2 linked regions of the Arabidopsis thaliana genome follow. The protein of the gene in region 2 interacts with the protein of the main gene of each other region in a pairwise test. Each region holds a gene or a part of one and is shown on either strand. Other genes may lie near its edges.

The links. The genes of interacting proteins can lie anywhere in the genome.
Region 1: the proteins of ATCTH (region 2) and DAZ1 interact in a two-hybrid assay, tested with the Arabidopsis thaliana proteins (one large-scale study listed by BioGRID).

What each region holds. Positions count from the first base shown.
Region 1 is NC_003071.7:7,472,112-7,479,683, forward strand, and holds DAZ1 (C2H2-like zinc finger protein), read right to left. Parts: upstream 5,573-7,572; 5' UTR 5,537-5,572; coding exon 4,724-5,536; 3' UTR 4,551-4,723; downstream 1-4,550. Other genes in the region: AT2G17160 (Interleukin-1 receptor-associated kinase 4 protein), read left to right, coding at 643-675, 1,413-1,601, 1,836-1,901; AT2G17170 (Protein kinase superfamily protein), read left to right, coding at 2,625-2,918, 2,988-3,123, 3,444-3,571, 3,651-3,720, 3,790-3,875, 3,972-4,163, 4,247-4,327; AT2G17190 (ubiquitin family protein), read right to left, coding at 6,161-6,309, 6,392-6,481, 6,626-6,654, 7,044-7,099, 7,202-7,315, 7,400-7,572. UniProt on the Arabidopsis thaliana protein: Mediates the regulation of male germ cell division by DUO1.
Region 2 is NC_003071.7:11,034,644-11,046,343, reverse strand, and holds ATCTH (Zinc finger C-x8-C-x5-C-x3-H type family protein), read right to left. Parts: upstream 5,014-11,700; 5' UTR 4,871-5,013; intron 4,779-4,870; 5' UTR 4,528-4,778; coding exon 3,580-4,527; 3' UTR 3,088-3,579; downstream 1-3,087. Other genes in the region: AT2G25905 (uncharacterized protein), read right to left, coding at 1-101, 139-256, 333-352; AT2G25890 (Oleosin family protein), read right to left, coding at 8,460-8,984; AUR2 (ataurora2), read left to right, coding at 9,334-9,546, 9,992-10,099, 10,190-10,336, 10,433-10,528, 10,610-10,705, 10,798-10,894, 10,983-11,100, 11,196-11,268 and 1 more.

The DNA of each region.
Region 1 (7,572 bases), 3.6 Mb from region 2:
TTACACATTATCTAAATCGATATAAAAACAAACCCAAAAAAAAAAAGCGAACAGAAGAAACAAATCATTCATCTTAGGTTTCATCATTCAACCAAATTTAATGATTAAACTTGAATATTTGTGTATATAATATATTAATATGTACATTGATATCCAACGGGTCGGGCTTAGACGCTTAGTTAAATGATCAAAACGGCCCTCAATGATTTGGGGAGCCATAGTCCGATCCCCATTAGCCGCGTCCGGGACAATGACATGACCAAACCAAAGGTCATCAAACTCTTTGAAAATAGTTGAATCCTCGTGTAAATCATAAATAACGTATCAATAATAATCAAAGGTTTATACTTTATACTATAAATGCGCACGACGTCTCTTTCTCTCTCTCTCTCTTCCTCTATTTCTTAGATTTGTCATTTGTTATTCGTCTGAATACGGCAGGTCCTATCTACACATGTAACAATAATGTCGTTTAAAATTAGTGTTTTTAATCTCACTGCCAGTACTATAAGATTTTGATATCATATAAGATCAATATCATTGATCGATCCGAGACAAAAGAAAGAAAAACTAAATTATGTTCATTAATCGTTATGTATAGCGTAAGTCGTGTGATGTCAAACCATCTCGTGATTGAGTATGATGGGTACAAAAGCTAGGAGACCAAACCCTGAGGTAAAGTAATTACTGATTGTATGAACAATTTTTGTGTGAGCAAAAAAAAACCTGTAAAATATATATATATGCCCATGATAAGATGATATCACATTTTTGTAATGAAAACGGTGTGATTTAACTAAATTTTATGTCCTTATCTTGGTGCATACAAGGCGTTTTCAAAGATACATATAATAATTTCCCGTACAATCGAATAGAAGCATTGGATTATTGGAATAATACATGTTTTATCGTACGGTAACTTAAGTGCTTACTCGGTTCTGTTTGATAAGGTATACGAAACAACATTTTCAAGCTTATGCCTTCTTAATGATCTAATTAAGTATGCTTAACTGTTTTTATTTGCTTAATGGATATGTTGAAGTCAAAGAACAAGAGGTAATCAGTTCTTGCTTGTCTCTTCATACTATTCATATCTGAATGTGATGTTATATAATATATTCTTATTGTAGGAATCGTGAACCCTAAAAGTGTGACATTGATTTGGTACTAAATATCATTGTGAATCTGCTAACTGGAAAGCGAATTCCTCCAAGCCATGTAAGCCATTCTGTTTCAAACCATGTAAGCCATTCATCTTGACTTTGTGACTTTAATCCTTAGAGAATCTGTCTTTTTCAATTCCTTGCAACACAAGTCACATTTCTGCTGAGTAAATTAGTTGTGATATAGTAATCCTTAATTTCTTGCCACACAAGACACATATTACTGAGTTGTTATCCTCCTATTTTTAGGCTCCTGTGAGGAGAAACGGAAAGTTTGTTACTGAGCTGATGAATCCAAATCTCAAGGGAAAGTTCTCAACAGAAGAAGCTTTCCTAGTTTTCAAACTCGCCTCTGAATGTTTGCAGTGCGAACATAGAAAAAGTCTCATCACAAAAGAGCTTGTTGCAACACTTAAAGCCTTGCAAACTAAACCACACGTAAGGAGCTAGGCTTACTATAACCATATGCATTCTTGATGATATTTCTCGCACTCGTGTTATAAAACCTATCGTTTTGCTTGCAGATTCCAAACATTCAAATGCTTGAACTGGAAAAGTAGCACGAGGTGGGAGCATCTTCCAGTCAACAACAACAGTTTGAACTGTTTAGCGTTCTTAAGTATGCAGATTCCAACTTCTTCTTAAGTTATAAAACCGATCTTTTGTTTGCAGATTCCAACTTCTGAAATGACAAAGCAGAATCTGGAGGCATCATCTTCAAGTCAAACTAAAGCATAAGTAAGAATAGGACTTATTGTTACCCTTAATGAATTCTTTATGAGTTTTCGTACTAAAAAACAGATCATCATCATCTTGCTTGCAGGTTCCATCTTCTAATATGGAAAATTTAAGCAGAAGAATCATCTTCCACACTGAATCTGCTAGTAGCTTTAACAAAGCAACACTTCTCGAAGCAAAGAGATCCAACAACATGCATGGTTAGGGAAGAAGAATCTTGAGTTTATGTTAAAAAATATAAAAAAGAAGTGATATCTTTTACCCTTGTTATATATTAAAAAAAATACGTATACATTTCTCTCTTCTTTTTGTTAAAGGGTTCAAATGAATTTATCTCATTAATTAACAATATCACTAGCAAAACTATAATTCTACTAAAAAAGTTTTCAAATAATTAACCAAAAAAAATATCATACACCTTTGAAATCCACTTGTCACACCACCATGCAATTTCAAACTTCCTAAATATGAAAATATAATTTTGACCCACTAGTGAAAAAACAAGGAAAATATATAACAAAAAACTATAATAATAACTAGAAGATGAAGATCAACGATAAAGATTGCGTAATCTTGAGTTTAGATTTTAGGGATAATAGTCTGTTATAAAAGGTTCTTTCCTTTGTGTAAACTCACTTGTTAGTGATAACAATCTCTTTCTCTTTCTCTCTCGCAAAGAACGCTTTCAATATTCTCTCTGCTTTTGCCGGCGAAAACGAAACCATGGGTGGTTGTTGCTTCTCGACGCCTCTTGATAACAATCAACAACCTCCACAACAGCCACAGATTCCTCCCGGCGAACGCAAGAACGACGGATTCGTCAACTGGCCTGTCACAGAGTTCTTCCTCTCCGATATCACCACGGCGACCAATAACTTCAGTTCCGACGAGATCATATCAGAGAACGCAGAAGAATCTTCCAATGTTGTCTACAAAGGTTGTTTATTAGAGAATCTTGGCTTCGTAGCTGTCAAGAGATTCAAGAATACGCCTTGGGATGATCCTGACTACTTCACGGTACCTTTTCTTTGCTTTTAAAGGTTATCAAAGTTTGCAACGTTCATTTGATCTCTTTTGTTTCTTCAGGAAGACGCAAAAACAGCTGGGGAGCTAAAGCACAAGAGACTTGTCAAGTTGTTGGGATATTGCTGCGAGGAAGATGAAGGACTTCTTGTTGCAGAGTTTATGCCAAATGATACTCTTGCTAAGCGTTTATTCCAGGGTATGATTCCTTCTCTTCTTTCGTTTTCAGATATAGAATTGGTGAATATGAGCTTAAGAGTCTGGATTGTTAGTCGATCTGTTCTATAGATGTATGTGCTCTGTTTTGAATCTTGGCAGAGAGGCTGCATTGTTGGTTTTTGTGGCATGATTGTGGGTGTAGAATGGTATAAACGTATCTGAAGATAGAGAGAGTGCATTGTTGTTGGTTTATGTGACATGCTATAGAATGGTGTAAATGTATCTGCTTGTAGAATTGATTGAAACAGAACTTATTAGCATTCTCTGTTTGAGGTTTCTTTTTTCTTTTGTGATGCACAGAGAAGAACATGGAATGGTCAATGAGGTTGCGAGTGGCGTATCATATAGTTGAAGCATTGGATTATTGCAATTCTGTACGTTTTGACGAGTACGATAATCTAAGTGCTTACACTGTTCTGTTTGATAAGGTATGTTAAACAACATTTTTCATGCCTATGCCTTGTCATGTGATCTAAGGATGCTAAACTGTTTTTACTGGTGTTGAAGGATGGTGATGCCTGTCTTTCTAGTTTCGGCTTGGTGAAAGAGATCATCCGTTACAATCGAAGAGAAGGAGGTAACCAATTCGCTCTTGTATCTTCAGACTATTCATATCAGAATGTAATGTTTTATATTCTCATTGTAGGGAACGTGAGGACTGGGAATGTGACATACAGATTTGGTACTATCCTTGTGAATCTGCTAACTGGATTGCAAATTTCTCCGAGCCATGTAAGTAATTCTGTTCAAGCTTGACTTTGTGGAATCCTTGGTTTCTTGCAACACAAGTTACATTTTACTGAGTGGTTATTTATCCTCTGTTTCTAGGCTCCTGAGATGATCAATGGAAAGGATGTCACTGAGCTCATGGATCCAAATCTGAAGGGAAAGTTCTCTACAGAAGAAGCTACTATAGTTTTAAAACTCGCCTCTGAATGTTTGCAGTGGAAGGGTTATATAGAGAATGGCATCACTAAAAAGCTTGTTGCAACACTTAAAGCCTTGCAGGCTAAAAAAGAAGTAAGGAGGCTTACTGTTACAATAATTTCATCCCTGAAGATTTTTCGCATTCATGTTATAAAACCAAATCTTTTTGCTTGTAGATTTCATCTTCTGAAATGCATGAAGTAACAAAGCAGCACGATGTGGCATCATCTTCGAGTCAACAACAACTTCCACCCTGAATCTGCTAATAGCTTCAACAAAGTAACTCTTCTCGAAGCAACATTTTTAGGGAAGAAGAATCTTGATTTTCTCACTTAGTGTACTGACACTGTGAAGAAACACCATAATCCATGCATGATACATATACATGTATGATCAAACAATATAAACTTTTTACATAGGGAAAAAGATTCAACGTTTTAAACTTCATAAAGCTAATTTCTTGAATATTGGACATTTAGTAAATAACTCTATTTGCATTTCATAAACTAATTAACTTATATATAGAATACAATACCACAATCCTATACGTTCATCATACAAAGTATCACACATATATACAGAGAGAGTTTTTTGTTAATTAAGAGAAAGAACCAAATACCCAATAAATATATAAAACCTTAAGTTATCATATATCAAAGTCCTAACCTAAGATCCAAGGAACAACCTAACGTTGTGTCTGAAGATGTCGCCGCAGGAACATTAAGATCAATGCCCCTGACTTGGTTCTCTTCCTGATCTTTCTCCCAATGACATCTCATGTGACCTCCTAACGCTTGACCACTGGAGAACACTCTAGAACAGATGTTACATCGATGATTCATCCCCGAGACCAACTTCACACTCTTGCCCTTATCTTGATCAACGATCTCTTGAGGAGGTGGAGGAGGAGGATCTTCGGTTATGTTTTTATTGGCGAAACATCCTTTGACGTCTTTATGTGTTGCTCTATGTCCGCCTAACGCTTGATGTGACCCAAACACTTTCTTACAACCATCACACTCAAACCGTTCCTCAACTTCACTTGAACGGGTTGGGACATCACCATTAGCCATCATTAGTAAACAGGAGGCTATGTTATGCTCTTCCTCAGATGGATCCCAACTCGAGGATGATGACGCAGCGTTTGAGTTGATCCTACGTTTGAAGTTAGAAGGAGGGTTGATGCCACGCCACTGACGTTCAGGGTGACATCTCATGTGTCCAAAGAGTGCCTTCAGTGACCCGAATTGTTTACCACATTCAGTACATGGTCGTGCGATTTGTGAAGCATCAGGGTCCGGTTGCGTGACCGGTTTAGGCCTTGGAGAAGACGAAGAAGAACCGACTTCGTTGTTGGTGAGTTTAGTACGTTTTCTTCTTGGGTTTTGATTGTAACTAGGAAGAGTTACATTGGAGGAAGCAAATGGGATATCGGAATTGGGATCGGAGTTTGAAGTGTTCGACATTATTATTGAGTCTCTTACTAGAGAGAAGACAGAAAAACTAAAAGAGAGGAAAAAAAAAAGTAGAAGAGTGGGAGTTATGGTTGGTTAAGTAGAAGAAGAACAAGTTAGTTTTCATCGACGGTTTCTTAGCAGTTACTTCTCCCTGTTTTGTCGGATTTACATTTCTTTTTTTGTTTTCCTCATAAGTTTTGTTTTTCTTTCAATTATTATTGTATTTATCTTTGTTATTCGAATGAAAAACTTAACGCTCAATCACAAATTATCAACGTCACTACAGCTATATTTAATAAGTAAAATGGAGATAAGAAAACGTAAATGTAACCATTCCACATTTCGAAATCAACTTCTACAGATGTACGAGGTAACAACTTCAAATAGAATCTGAAAGATAACAGACGACCCAAAGTATGTAAAAAAGGTTGTGGGGATTGGGTAAAGAGGAAAGAAGATGACCATTGAAAACAAATAGTGTATCGATGAGCGGCTTTTCTATCCACAAGTTCGCGATCCTATCATAAATGTAGTTATACGAATTCCATAAATTAGATTACTGAAAGAAAACACATTGTTTATTCTATAATTGAGAAGCCAGAGTGGAGTGATATCAGTTCACGAACCTGTATGTTACTGGCCAATACTCCCCAAGAGTCGTTCTACAGCAGCGTTAACGTTACCATTGGTTGCAAGCAAAGCCCTTATGTTCTCTGCTCTGTCGTAGAATCCCATTTCTTGCAACTGTTGCAACTGAGTCGCAAATCGCTCTTCAGGAGGAACTGGAATCAAATAGACATGTTTCAGTGGAACCATCTCAATAGATATATAAGAAATCAAAGTATAGCCCCTAGTGAATCTAACCATTGGGTTGGTTTGTGCCACTTAGGCCGCCAGCACCAAGGCTGCCAAACATATTCATCAATAAATCTAGTCCTCCGTTATTGGCTGTCCCTATAAATATTTCCATAGTAGTGATTTACTCAATAAGCAACGTAATGAATATACGATTAAAGTAAAGCAAAAGAACAAAAAAAAGCACACTGTCTAAGTGAACTAGTTGAAGCCTTCATACTTCAATTACAGATAATATAGTACCTGTCGCAGCACCAGTTTGCGTAGGATCCCTACAAAGAAGATGGATTGGGAACATGAATAGAGGTTGATGGAAATCAAGATCACTGATATCAAATGTTAAAGGAAAGAACCAAAAAAGAACGAAAATTTTTATGCTCCTATTCAAGTTTATTTCAAGGACTAAAATACTTTACAGCCGTTGATAAAGGTCACTAATGATCAGCCCAGTAAAACATACAAGAGTTGCTGCATTACTAATGATTCAACCCATTTATTACTTAATATAAGATAGTTCACCACCGAGAGAATTACCTGGTTAGCTAGTGACACTATTTTCTAAACACAGATCAACCCAAAATCCTATTATGATATATAAAGGACATTACCTACTCAACTAATGTTCCAACTAAAGAAAACAGAAAAGGGTATCCAAACTTACTGGCCAGCCGTGTTCCTATTCTGAGAGAAAAGTGATTGTTGTAGAGACATCATTTGCTAAAAAGACCAAAAAACAATAGAAAACATTAGGTCGGAGAAATTTGACTACTGAATGATATAAAAATAATTATCTGGAGAGACAACATGGGCCCAACTAACCTGCATCATCTCGGGAGAGCTAAACTGGCGAAGGAAATCAGGGTTCTGCATCATTTCCCTCAACTGAGGATTCATATCTAGCATGCTTCGGAGTTGTGGGTTAAGACTCATAAGCTGGAAATGAAGGAAATATTAAAATATTAAAGACAGCCTCACAATAGCTACAATGTCTAAAATTCAGATTACTGAAGGCGCTACCTGATTCATGTACTGTGGATTGGAAAGTACGCTTTGCATCATCTGCGACATAGCGGGGTTTTGCAGTATTTGGCTCAATTGAGAAGCATCTGGAGTCGCACCAAGAGGTGAGTCCGCTCCCAGCATACCGAGTCCACCAAGGCCTCCAAGCCCACCAAGACCACCAAGTCCAG
Region 2 (11,700 bases):
GTTGCAATTCCTGAATCTCTAAGTGAGTGGAGCGAAGAAGGTTTCTCGGGAGACTTGTCTACACAATACAAAAATGGCATGCGACAAACGAAGTATAAAATCTAAGAAGTAAAAGATTTGAAGAGAAATAAGAAGAACCTCAGTGATCCATAAAGATGGAAAAGATAGTCCAATAACAATGCCAAAAGCTATAACAAACAATGCTGTTGTAAAAAGCTTCATGCTATCATCTGATGATCTCCTACTACTACTTGGGCTGTTATAACAACAATCATCACCAATCCGATTTTAGAGAGAACAATAAGAGAAACGAGATAAAGGGTCTTTTTTACCTGCGTGACAAGATTCCCATAGTTAGGTTTTTATTACAACTTTTGATTATAAACTCCAATTGTCATCAACACCATCTCACTCATGTTTATCGATAAAAACAAACTGTAATTAATCTCTTGAGCTATACGATCAAAACAAAGCACGAATGATCTAATTAAACAACAATGCTACATTTAACGTGTGATTAACCATGAATTTTCTAGACGACAAAACACGAAAGTGATAAAAAGAAAACTCGAATTTATAAAAATGACATTACAAAGTAGAACACCACAAAATTTTGAGACGCATAGAGACCTAGCTATTATAACACCAAGAAGTTGCATACATATGAGTGGGAAACTCATATCTTTTATGGGGAACCAAGATTAATTTGGTCATACGTATTCAAGAGTTATCTCTCTAAGATTGTATTTGTTTTTATTTATTTATTTATGTTTTAGTTTTATTTATCATTTAGTTTCTTTCATTATTTTTATTTGTTGGTATAAGCATTTGTATTAATTTGTCATCAGATATATTAAAAAAACTATGTCTGTAATGAACATTTTATAATAATATATTATATATCATTTAGATTAAATAATATCTTTATTTAGTCAATCATTAATGATGATGCGGTCTTCTAGTTAAGGTCCATGGTTTTGTTAATGGCTTTTTCGAATGAGTCTTTGTCGATGAATACTTTCGTGAACCAACTGGGAATGTGATGATCATCTTCATATAATAGCTTGATGGCTGGTACTAATTCCATGAGAAGTACCTTAAAGCTATAGACATCAGCTTTTGTAGTTAGTCACTGTAATTACAAAGAGGAGTCATAAATCAAATATATTGGTGATCAGATGTAAATATTGACATATTAAAGAAGAATCTTACATGCTTATTTTGGTGCAATGTAACCAGCTGTTCCAAAACACTTTGTCCTGATCGATTCTCTGCCCTCTGCTGTAGACCATGCCAAACCAAAGTCAGAAATTTTTCTAATTTGTTTTTGGAAACAAGTTAATTCGTGGTTTGACCAAATACTAAAAAAACGCATAGGTTAATCAAAACCAAATTGTACATTTGCTTATCTTTTACTTATATTTTACTTATATTTTGCATAAAAAAAAAAATTGTGTTTGTTAGTTCCTTGTATTGTTCTTCTTTTTTTTTTTTACTTAATTAGTAACATTTTGTATAATTATTGCAGTATCATTCAACTTTAAGAAATTACACGATTTCTTCCATTCAAAAAGTAAGCGAAGAAATTACACTCCTTCTCTCATAAATGAGGAATGCATTCTGAAAATTTATTTGTTTTACTCACTGCATATATAAACAATTCACGTTAAAATTATGATTTTTTAGACCATGTAATAGTTTTTTTTTTAATAAAACTATAAACTAAATATAGAAAGTTAGAAACAAACAACATTGAGATACTGAGATGCATCATCACTAAAATTTTTTTAAAAAGATAATAAATAAATAAATCTGGCATCAGTTTTTTTTTTATAAGTTAGTTTGACTTTTAAACTGACGGTAGAATTATATAGTCATTTTAGAAAGCGATGCTAAATTCAGTGAAACTAAAACAATTTAGCATCACTCTTTTAAATGATGTTATAATTTAAGATAAACATCATTTTTGTTAGTGAGGTTATAAATCCTTTGGTATCATTTTTAATTATTGATGCTAACTATTTTTAGTATTAAATTTGAAAGTTACGTGAAATTTTGATTTTACATTCATATCATTACTCAAAAACGATTCAAATTAAATAATATGTTTTTTAAAAAATTAGCTATTATATAAAAAGCATAATCAATAAATAGGAAAATTAAAATAGAAAAACATCTCATTTCATAAGAGAAGTTCTACCAATACATTATTCAAAATTAATAATTAAAATACAAAAAACATAGCTTTTCTCCTCAAACTAAGTAAGTAATAAGAGTCTCATGCTCTCTATTTGCACGAAGCAAATAGGATTGATTACCATTACTCTCTTTTGTGTACCATATTCTATTTCTTTTTTGTTATTAGTTTTTAAACAAAACTGTTTACTAGTCTATGTTCTGTTATGTTTGTTTGAGTTTTTATGTTAAATTTCATAACTTATTATGTATAAAATTATCGTTTGTTATGTCACTGTATTTTTTAATTTAATACATTATTGTTGTATTTTTAAATTTCAATTAACTGGATAACCATATTAGTATTGATTAAATGCCCAATGTATACCTAAAACATATAGATTTGTTCGTGTATTACTGAAAACATATTTAAATTTGAAAATCATTCTGAAAATGAAAATTTTATCCAAATTATGAGTATTCATTAGTCATTAGTCTATTTTCAGAGTGGATCTAGTCTACCATTGGAAATAGCCAAATAGTTTTTTTTTTTTGTCAAAAGGAATATGTTTACTTAAAAATAGAATTTGTAGGCAGATTTGATGTTCATTAGAGATATGATGCAAGAGAGTTATTTTCTCGAGACTATTTTCTCTGATTAATTGTTGGGCTTGTTCGTTTATTAATCGCTGTGACAGCAATAGGGACTCCGACGAAAAGCAAAAATTATAACGGAGATACAAAAACAGTCGTTCAATATGGACGCCGGCGGCGTCCTTAGTGAAAATGTTAAGTTGCTGTTATTTTTTGGCGACACGTGTATATGCCTTATAGGTCGCTGTTTTTAAAATCGAGCGACTCCTCTTCACATAACTTTCTACAGACTTCAACGTAATTGTGTGTTAAGCAACTGTTTTTTTGGTCGCTGGATATGATCGCAGCGTTTGGAAAAAGAACAGGCCAACAAAAAATATTTATATCCTCTTACTATTATAACAACGAAATCGATAAGAAGGAAACAACAAATGAAATGTTCTTTTCTAAAGTCTCAAACTAAGATGTTATCCAAATACATTTGAGAACTAATTACAAAATGATATAACATTAATAAACAACAAACAAAATAAAGCCGAAAACCAAAATAAAAACAAGAAAATAACGAAAACAATAAAAAAAACTGCAGAGAAAAAAGCCAGAAGAATAGCTCTCAAATTCTCTCATTATCATCTCTTTACAAATTCTTCCTTTTTTTGTTACTCTTAACGCTTTTTTCTTCATCGTCCGATTGTACCGTCACTAAGATCGACCCGCCACGTCATTTATCCACAACACCTTAAAAATCTCTAAAATATTCACAAAATCAGATCGAGTCGCCACGTCATCAAAGACTCGATCCAAGTCGACTCAACCGAGTGAGTTCTCTCTACTGAGTCTTGCATACATCTCCGCTCTCAGCTCTTTCCCAGATTCCACAAATTCCATCGCCGGAGCTTCTTCGATCTCAAACTCTCTTATCCTCGGCCACGTTGCCGCCTGAATCGGACGCAGAGACGACGAAAAAGGTAACCTAACTGCAGATCTCATCGGAGAACTCCACGAACAACCACCTCCGTTCAATTGCATTTTCCTCATCGACGCAATAAGTTCACCGGTACTCGGAGAAAGCGGCGGAGATTCCGACGGTGGTGAAAACGAAGGAGAAACAAGAATCGAAGTCGGAGAAGTAGCTAATCCTGAGAAGAATCCAAGATCTGGATCTAACGAACAAGGTAATACACGTAACTGCTCCGTCGTATGAGCGAAGAAACAGATTCTTCTCCGGCAGCTAGTTCCGTCTTTACACGGCTGAGTACGGTAACGAGAAGGATGGAGCCAACACTCGAAAACTCCATGAGAGAACTCACACGAATCACCTCTTCTACAACTTCCTTTACGAAACTCAGGACAAGCGGTGCCGGAGTAATGAAACTTTCTCGGATCACGTCGTCGAGCTTTTTCTCCGGGATGTGCGAACGGACACTCCGTCCAATCATGAGATCGACCTCGAGCGCATCGCCGGATTTTGAACTCGTAGATGCGAAACTCGTCGGAGGAGAATGAGTCGGTGAGTGGTGATGACTCGTCGCCACTTGATGAGTCTGAATCGTTTGTTAACTCGTTTGACGGGAGGTAACGGAAGAGAGAAGCGAAGGAGTCGAGATACGGTGACGGAGAGTGTGGGTAGTCGTTAACGCTGTTAAGGTTGACGGAAGAGAATGGTGAAGAGATTGTGGCCGTTGGATCGTTGATTTGATCCCATTGAGGGATATGGATCGTTGGATGTGGCCGGTTTTTATTTTCGCCGATCATCATTTTTGTTTAGTGAGTCTAGAAGAGAGAGAGGTGTGTGTCTGTGATATAAACTGCTTTATTTTAACCATGGTTGGGTCAAATATTAACTACGGTAAAGTTATGAAAATCTTGACCCTATCCACAATACCGTACGGTAAACAATTAATAAGCGCAAATCTGCAGATGATGACACGTGTAAGAAAAAATCTCCAATTTTTGTTCGTCTTTTGTTTTTTTCCCCTTCATGTTCGTCTTTTTTTTTTTTTTTTTTTCTTCATATTTGTCCCCCCAAAAAAAAAAAAAATGTTTTCAAAGCTTTAAAAATATTTAAAAATTTTCAAATTTATTTTTTAATCAATCACACTTTTAAAACTTTATTAATTTTTAAAGTTTTAAAAGCTTTTTTCTCTCCATTTACTTTTTTTCTTTTGTTTTTTTCCTAAAGTCTTTAACTTTAAAAGAGAATAATAAAACAAAATAAAAATATTTTTTCTTTATCCATAAAATTTCAAAACTCTTTTCAAATTTATTTATATTTTATCATTAAAAAATCGATTGATTAATTCGAATTTTATTTTTTCTGTTCTTTTCAGATCCAATTTAAATATTTAAAATAGTGAATTTGTAAAATGAATTTTGTATTTTTTTAAAATAAATTTATTTTAGTTACTATTTTACCAAATAAATTGATTTTTTAGCATAAATAATATTTATAAAAAATATTAAATAATAATAAAAATAATTGTGATTTTTTTGTACCAATCAGACTTTAACAGTTAAAGTTTCTATCGTCAAAATTTTTACAACCAAAATTTTTACAGTCAAAGTCGTAACATCCGAAATATTTAGAGTTCAAAAGTAACAGCCGTTACCAATCAGCCCCAACATCTACTTTATTACGCTTTCCGTTTTAAATTAATTGTCAGAACATTAAAAAAATAATTAGAATAAATATCAATTTACATTTTTAAAAGCTAATTTTGACTACAAACAAAATTAAAGTTTTATTTGCAGTGATTTATGTTTTAACCAATAAGAAATTTTGTAAAGTAAAAAATAAAACAAATTATTAATATGTGTGTCAAAACCTAAAACAACATTTTTGGAGTATCACTAACCAAAAGTTATATAGTCACATAAAACATAGGGATACATTAATTGAAGAAATTAAGATACACATTAAAAATTGAAAAAAAAAAAATTTCTATCATAACTCAAAGTTTATCACCAAAAATTGTGTTAATTATTCCGTAGCTGTTATTTGTTTATAAAGATTTAGATCATTTTGACCAGACTGTAACTATTAGATCATTTTGAAGAATCGTAGAATCATACTATTTTATTTGCAATTATATGAATTAGTCCACACTAATATTAAGGGTCTAGCGATATGAAACATAAGACATTACAGTAAGAAAATATTTGGACGGTACAGTATATATTACTTGTCACGTGACTTTCAAGGTCGTAGACTACTCCCCATGACCTGACAAGAGTGAATAAATTTGGTTATTGTCCCCCATTTTTTCTAGATCATGGAAGGATGCAACGTACGTAGCTTTTATGAAATAAATTTCGAACATTAATTTTAACTTTTGGCTCTCCAGCTGATGGGAGTAAATTGACATGCTCCAAAGAAAGAAACACAAGTCACCTAGTGATTTTCAAGAAAATGTGCTTCCTTCAAAATATCCGAGGTCTAAGATGAAATAGTTTTAAAAATTGTTATGCGGGGCATATATTATTAGAGTGTTGTGCACTTGTAACCTTCCAGAAAATAAGCAATTTGGACGATATTTTAAGGTTTGGTCCATGTTCCAGTATCGTGTTAGGGTCCACTGCTTCGAGATCTACTTGATTGATACTCTTCCATTTGTTTTCTAATTGTTTGATGCAAAGGTTATCCATTAAGGGAAACTTATCTATATCACGTGGAATACTCACTGCAAAAGATTCGCAATATTAGACTTATAATTGTCACTAATCAGACCATTAAACAAATATCAAATTGATTAATATGTTGAATTTAATAATCCAATTTGACCTCTTTCAGATAGGGCTTTGGGGACAAATCTTCTTAAATCGCACCAAACTTTTATTATAAGATAATTTTTGGTTCGTGGCTATTAAATTAAGCCTGAAAATTTAAACATATGTTTCACTTACAAGCGTCAAGTATGGATAAACAATGATTAATCATAAGCTATCATAATGACAAAAAGAAGTATGATCGTTATCAGTTCTCTTATGCATAAACTATTGATAAAATTATAATAGTCACGAGATGATTGATCGAGCACGATAACTATTATAATAGTCACGAGAGAATGATGTGAAAGTTTAAGAATGCGTCTAAACCAACAATAAAATAATTTAAATAGTTATAATTGAATACACATTCTATATTAGTAAACATTCAAATTATTTAAAATATCTACGAGACACAATAGCCTCCCAACAACCATTCGTACATTCACTTTCTCATTAGAAAGAAAACGTATCCTAATTTGTTGTTTTCTCTATGAATGTTAATATCATCTAATAAGTCCATATAGACTATATCTAATAAATCCATATAGACTATTGTCTCTGAATATCAATGGATTTGAATCTTTGGCCAAAAAATTAAACAAAGAGACAAATGATGTAGAAGTCACATTACATAGTGGGAGTTAAAATTAACCAGAGTTTGCATTAGGTTGCAATAACGCTTGCATTTACGTCTTGCGGTGCTTACGTTCTGAATCTCTTTGTCGATGAGCTTGAAGATAGTTGATATTGGGATCGAGACTTGGTTGTGAACCACATCATTCCTTTGCTTCCACATATATCCTAACATTTATCTAAACAATCTGGTGCTAGAAGAAAGAGATTATCAAACTGATGCAATGACAAACTACGAAACACCACTCCATAACAAAAAAACTTAACCGTATATCGATCCTCAACTTTAGGAATAATCCTAACGCCGCACCCACCCGGCACCTGGCACCCACCACTTGAAAAATTCATAGCTCATGGCCAGTAGGGAACCGCGGAGGAAACTTACTCAGTCCATTGCGAGGATAAGGACAAAAGTACTCCTTCAATTATTCTAGAAAACCAATCAGACGTTGACAAAGAACCTCGTTTGAAAGTACAACTGCTCTACAAGACTGCATTGCCCACTACAAGCAGTGAATGTTGTCCACCCTCAGCTTCTTTATACGTTCGTGAAGCATGCATGTGCATTTTGTTGGTGCGCGCATAGTAAGCCATGCCATGCAATTCAATGCCAATGGTTTACGAACATATAGACAAGTAAAGTTTTCAATTATTTCATGAGTACCTAAAAACCACATTCATAGAACAGTTTGCAAGTATTCGAAATTTGGGAAAACATGCATACGACCTCACCGCATCTCTCAAAGGCCGAATACAATTTTTGAGGAATGATTAAACAAAGAAATATTTTTACAATCACACTAACTACAATACGTTCATGAAGACAACGTAAATGACACGAGCCATTTAGCGCAGCCTTCGAAATTTATTTAGCGAGTATAGATAAAGTGGTTCAAGCCTTGGTATTGATACACAAAATTCACAAACCTTGCAATTTTCTTTTTGAACATAAAAACAACAATATTATTTCAAATCAAACGGACCACACTCAAAACTACATTTACATATACCAAGAAAGCCACCATATAATTCTAGAAGCCAGACGGTGACCAAGTAATTGGCATTTATTAATTTACTTAATTCGTTATCATCTTTCCTTACACTAGCTATTTCACAATCATAAAACAGAAAATACCGATCAGCAATTAAACACACAAAAAATTGTATGGAAAATAGAAAATAAAATTTTAGATAGATCTTTTCAAAAAGGTAAGAACAGTATTAAAAAAACATACGTAGGATAATCATAAAACTTAATACAACATATAGATCCATATAATTATTAAACTCTAATGAGTAGTTGTTGTGGTTTGGTGTGTTTGTTGTGGCTGCGAGTGCGTATAATGTCCCAACTCTTTGGCTTTCTCCGCTATCCTCATCCTCGCGTAATCCACCTTATCCGCTCCCATCGGGTGTTTTCCGGTAACGTACTTATAAATCCACGTTAACGCCGTAGCTGCTGCCACCCCACAACCACCGGAGAATAGGAATCCCATCGTCAAAAGCCCTATCGTTATCACTGCCGGTACCAACACCGGGCTGAACAGAACCATCAACGGCGTCGCTACGATCAAACCGATCACCGTTCCGGTTAGTGTTAGTCCTGAGAGCACGAGGAGTGATAGGCCGATCGTAGCTGCCGTTACGAATCTCACTATCTGCCGAGTCGATGGTGATGATTCATGGAGACTCCTCATTATTGGTTGTTGTTGTTGCTGATGTTGTTGATGATCCGCCATTTCTTTTTTTCTTTTTCTAAGAGAGTATGGATTTAATGTTCTATGTTGTTTTTGTAGCTTTAATAAGCTTACCATTTGTGATTATTATGAAGAATGAAAATAGACTAGTATGAAGGAGAGGCTAAACTTAAACGAGACATGTGTCGAACGACGAGGCGTGTTAGGCAATGGAGAAGAGTGTCACGCGGGCGTGTCAGTTCTGCATGGAGCTACTTTGACGAGGTACTGACACGTGGTTACTTAGTTCCGAATTAAAATCTCATCGTCAAACGATCTTGAAGCTTATTGGGCTATTATCTGGGCTTGTAGTGACTGTATATTATCCTAGTGATTATGAAGTTGGAATACCGTGGGCTTAATAATATCTGGGCCTGTAGCGACTGTATCATCTCGGGAGACAAATTATTTGAAAATAAAAACCTCGATGCAGATGTATCAACACGTGGCAGCATCTGGATTCGACCGTTGCTGCTTTGCTGGTGGTTTACGTTTTTTCCCCTTTTTAAATTTCTCAATTTGGATCTGTTCCCTTTGTGAAAATTACTCTCTCTTCTCTCTTTCTTTCTTCTCTTTCTCTCGCTATCTTGGCTCATCAACGATCTCTTCCATGGGGATTTCTACAGAGACGCAGCAAATTGTAAGAAAATAACTTGTTCTTGGTTTCACAAATTCCAATTTCATTTGGTTCTTTTGTCGAATTTGTTTCAATTTAGGGTTTTACTTCCTTGTTGGTTTGCGTTTTTTCTCTGCGTTTGGTCTGTTCTAATGGAATGTGATCTGGGATTATCGATTTGGTTGCTTGATTTTCTTTGCGCCAGAAAGAATCTTGTTTCAATGTTCTCTGTTTAATTTGAGAAAGACTTGTTGGTATGATTTTGAGAAATTTCATGATATGATTGTGGATTTATTCGTTTACAGCGAGGACCCTAGATTAATTGACAAATCCGTGGATTAGTGTTAAGGAGCTGTTGATTTTATCCTTTTATCTTCAAGTTTTAAAGTATCAATGATTGTTTGTCGTTTATGATTAAGTGTATCTGAGAGTTGATTGGATTTCAATCTTTGTGATAATGTTGTATCAGGCGGCTTCAGAGGCTGCACAAAAGAGATGGACTACAAGCGATTTCGATATCGGAAAGCCACTTGGTAGAGGAAAGTTTGGCCATGTTTATCTAGCAAGAGAGAAACGGGTTAGTGTTTCTTCACAATTATGTTAAACAAGCAGAATTAATTTGATGTCTTTTTTAACCAAGCTGTCTTCTATGTGTCTTTGCAAACAGAGCGATCACATTGTGGCTTTAAAGGTTCTTTTTAAGGCTCAGCTTCAACAATCTCAAGTTGAACACCAGTTACGAAGGGAAGTAGAGATTCAATCTCATCTTCGGCATCCCAATATTCTGCGGCTCTACGGTTACTTCTATGATCAGGTTTTGTGTTATCTGTGCTTGTAAAAGAACTTCTTGTTGACATACAATGTTTGGCTCTGTGAGGTTAACATAGTTTTTGGGATACCGTTGTTGCAGAAAAGAGTTTATTTGATTTTGGAGTATGCTGTAAGGGGTGAGCTTTATAAAGAGCTTCAGAAGTGCAAGTACTTCAGCGAACGTCGAGCAGCAACTGTAAGTCCTAGTGATAATTGAACTTATTCTAGCATGTTAATGTGAATCTGTGTAGTCATACCCTTACGTTTATTGTGGCAGTATGTTGCGTCATTGGCTAGAGCCCTCATCTATTGCCATGGAAAGCATGTAATTCACAGAGATATAAAACCTGAAAATCTGTTGATTGGTGCTCAGGTAACAAATTGAATCTGGTTATCTTTCTCCATCAACGCCATGTGATTGCAGTTAGCTTATGTGTTTATGTATTCATGGATATATGTTTTCAGGGTGAGCTCAAGATTGCAGATTTTGGATGGTCAGTACACACATTCAACCGTAGAAGGACTATGTGTGGCACTTTGGATTACCTTCCACCTGAGATGGGTAAGAGAAAGCTCTCTCTCTCTTGTGTGATTCTAAATTACTTTCTTCGGCAACCAGCTAATTGACTTTTCTGCTTTTGGATTCACAGTGGAAAGCGTTGAACATGATGCGAGTGTCGATATATGGAGTCTAGGAATTCTCTGCTACGAATTTCTTTATGGTGTTCCTCCTTTTGAGGCCAGGGAGCATTCAGAGACATACAAAAGGTAACATGTTCATTAAGCGTAGAATGGGATTAGTATATGATGTTTGGTCAGTGGAATGTACATTAAAGAAGGGTTTTGTTCGACAAATGATACAGGATTGTTCAAGTGGATCTCAAGTTCCCTCCCAAACCCATTGTGTCATCATCTGCAAAGGACCTGATTAGCCAGGTTTCTACTCGCATTCCTCGTAAATCTCTCTAAGTGTTTGTGCATTTGAAGAGTGAATTCTGATTTTCACACTTTCTGATCAAACAGATGTTGGTTAAGGAGTCTACGCAACGTTTGGCCTTGCACAAGCTTCTTGAACACCCGTGGATTGTGCAAAACGCAGACCCATCAGGCCTTTACAGAGGATGAAGCGATGAAGCTAGGAAAAGATTTAAGATTGCATTCTTGGCACTTTGCACCACTTACTGCAAAAAGTCTGACCATTTCATAGTTCTATATATGTAATTGCTGTGTTCCAAAAGTATTTGTACTACATTTTTCTACGAAGTTTATATAGCCACAAGATTCGTGTAACTTTACTCCAATTATTTTCGAATCCTACATCACTTTTTAAATAAAAATTGTTCGGAATGGTTTCAAACTTACAACAGC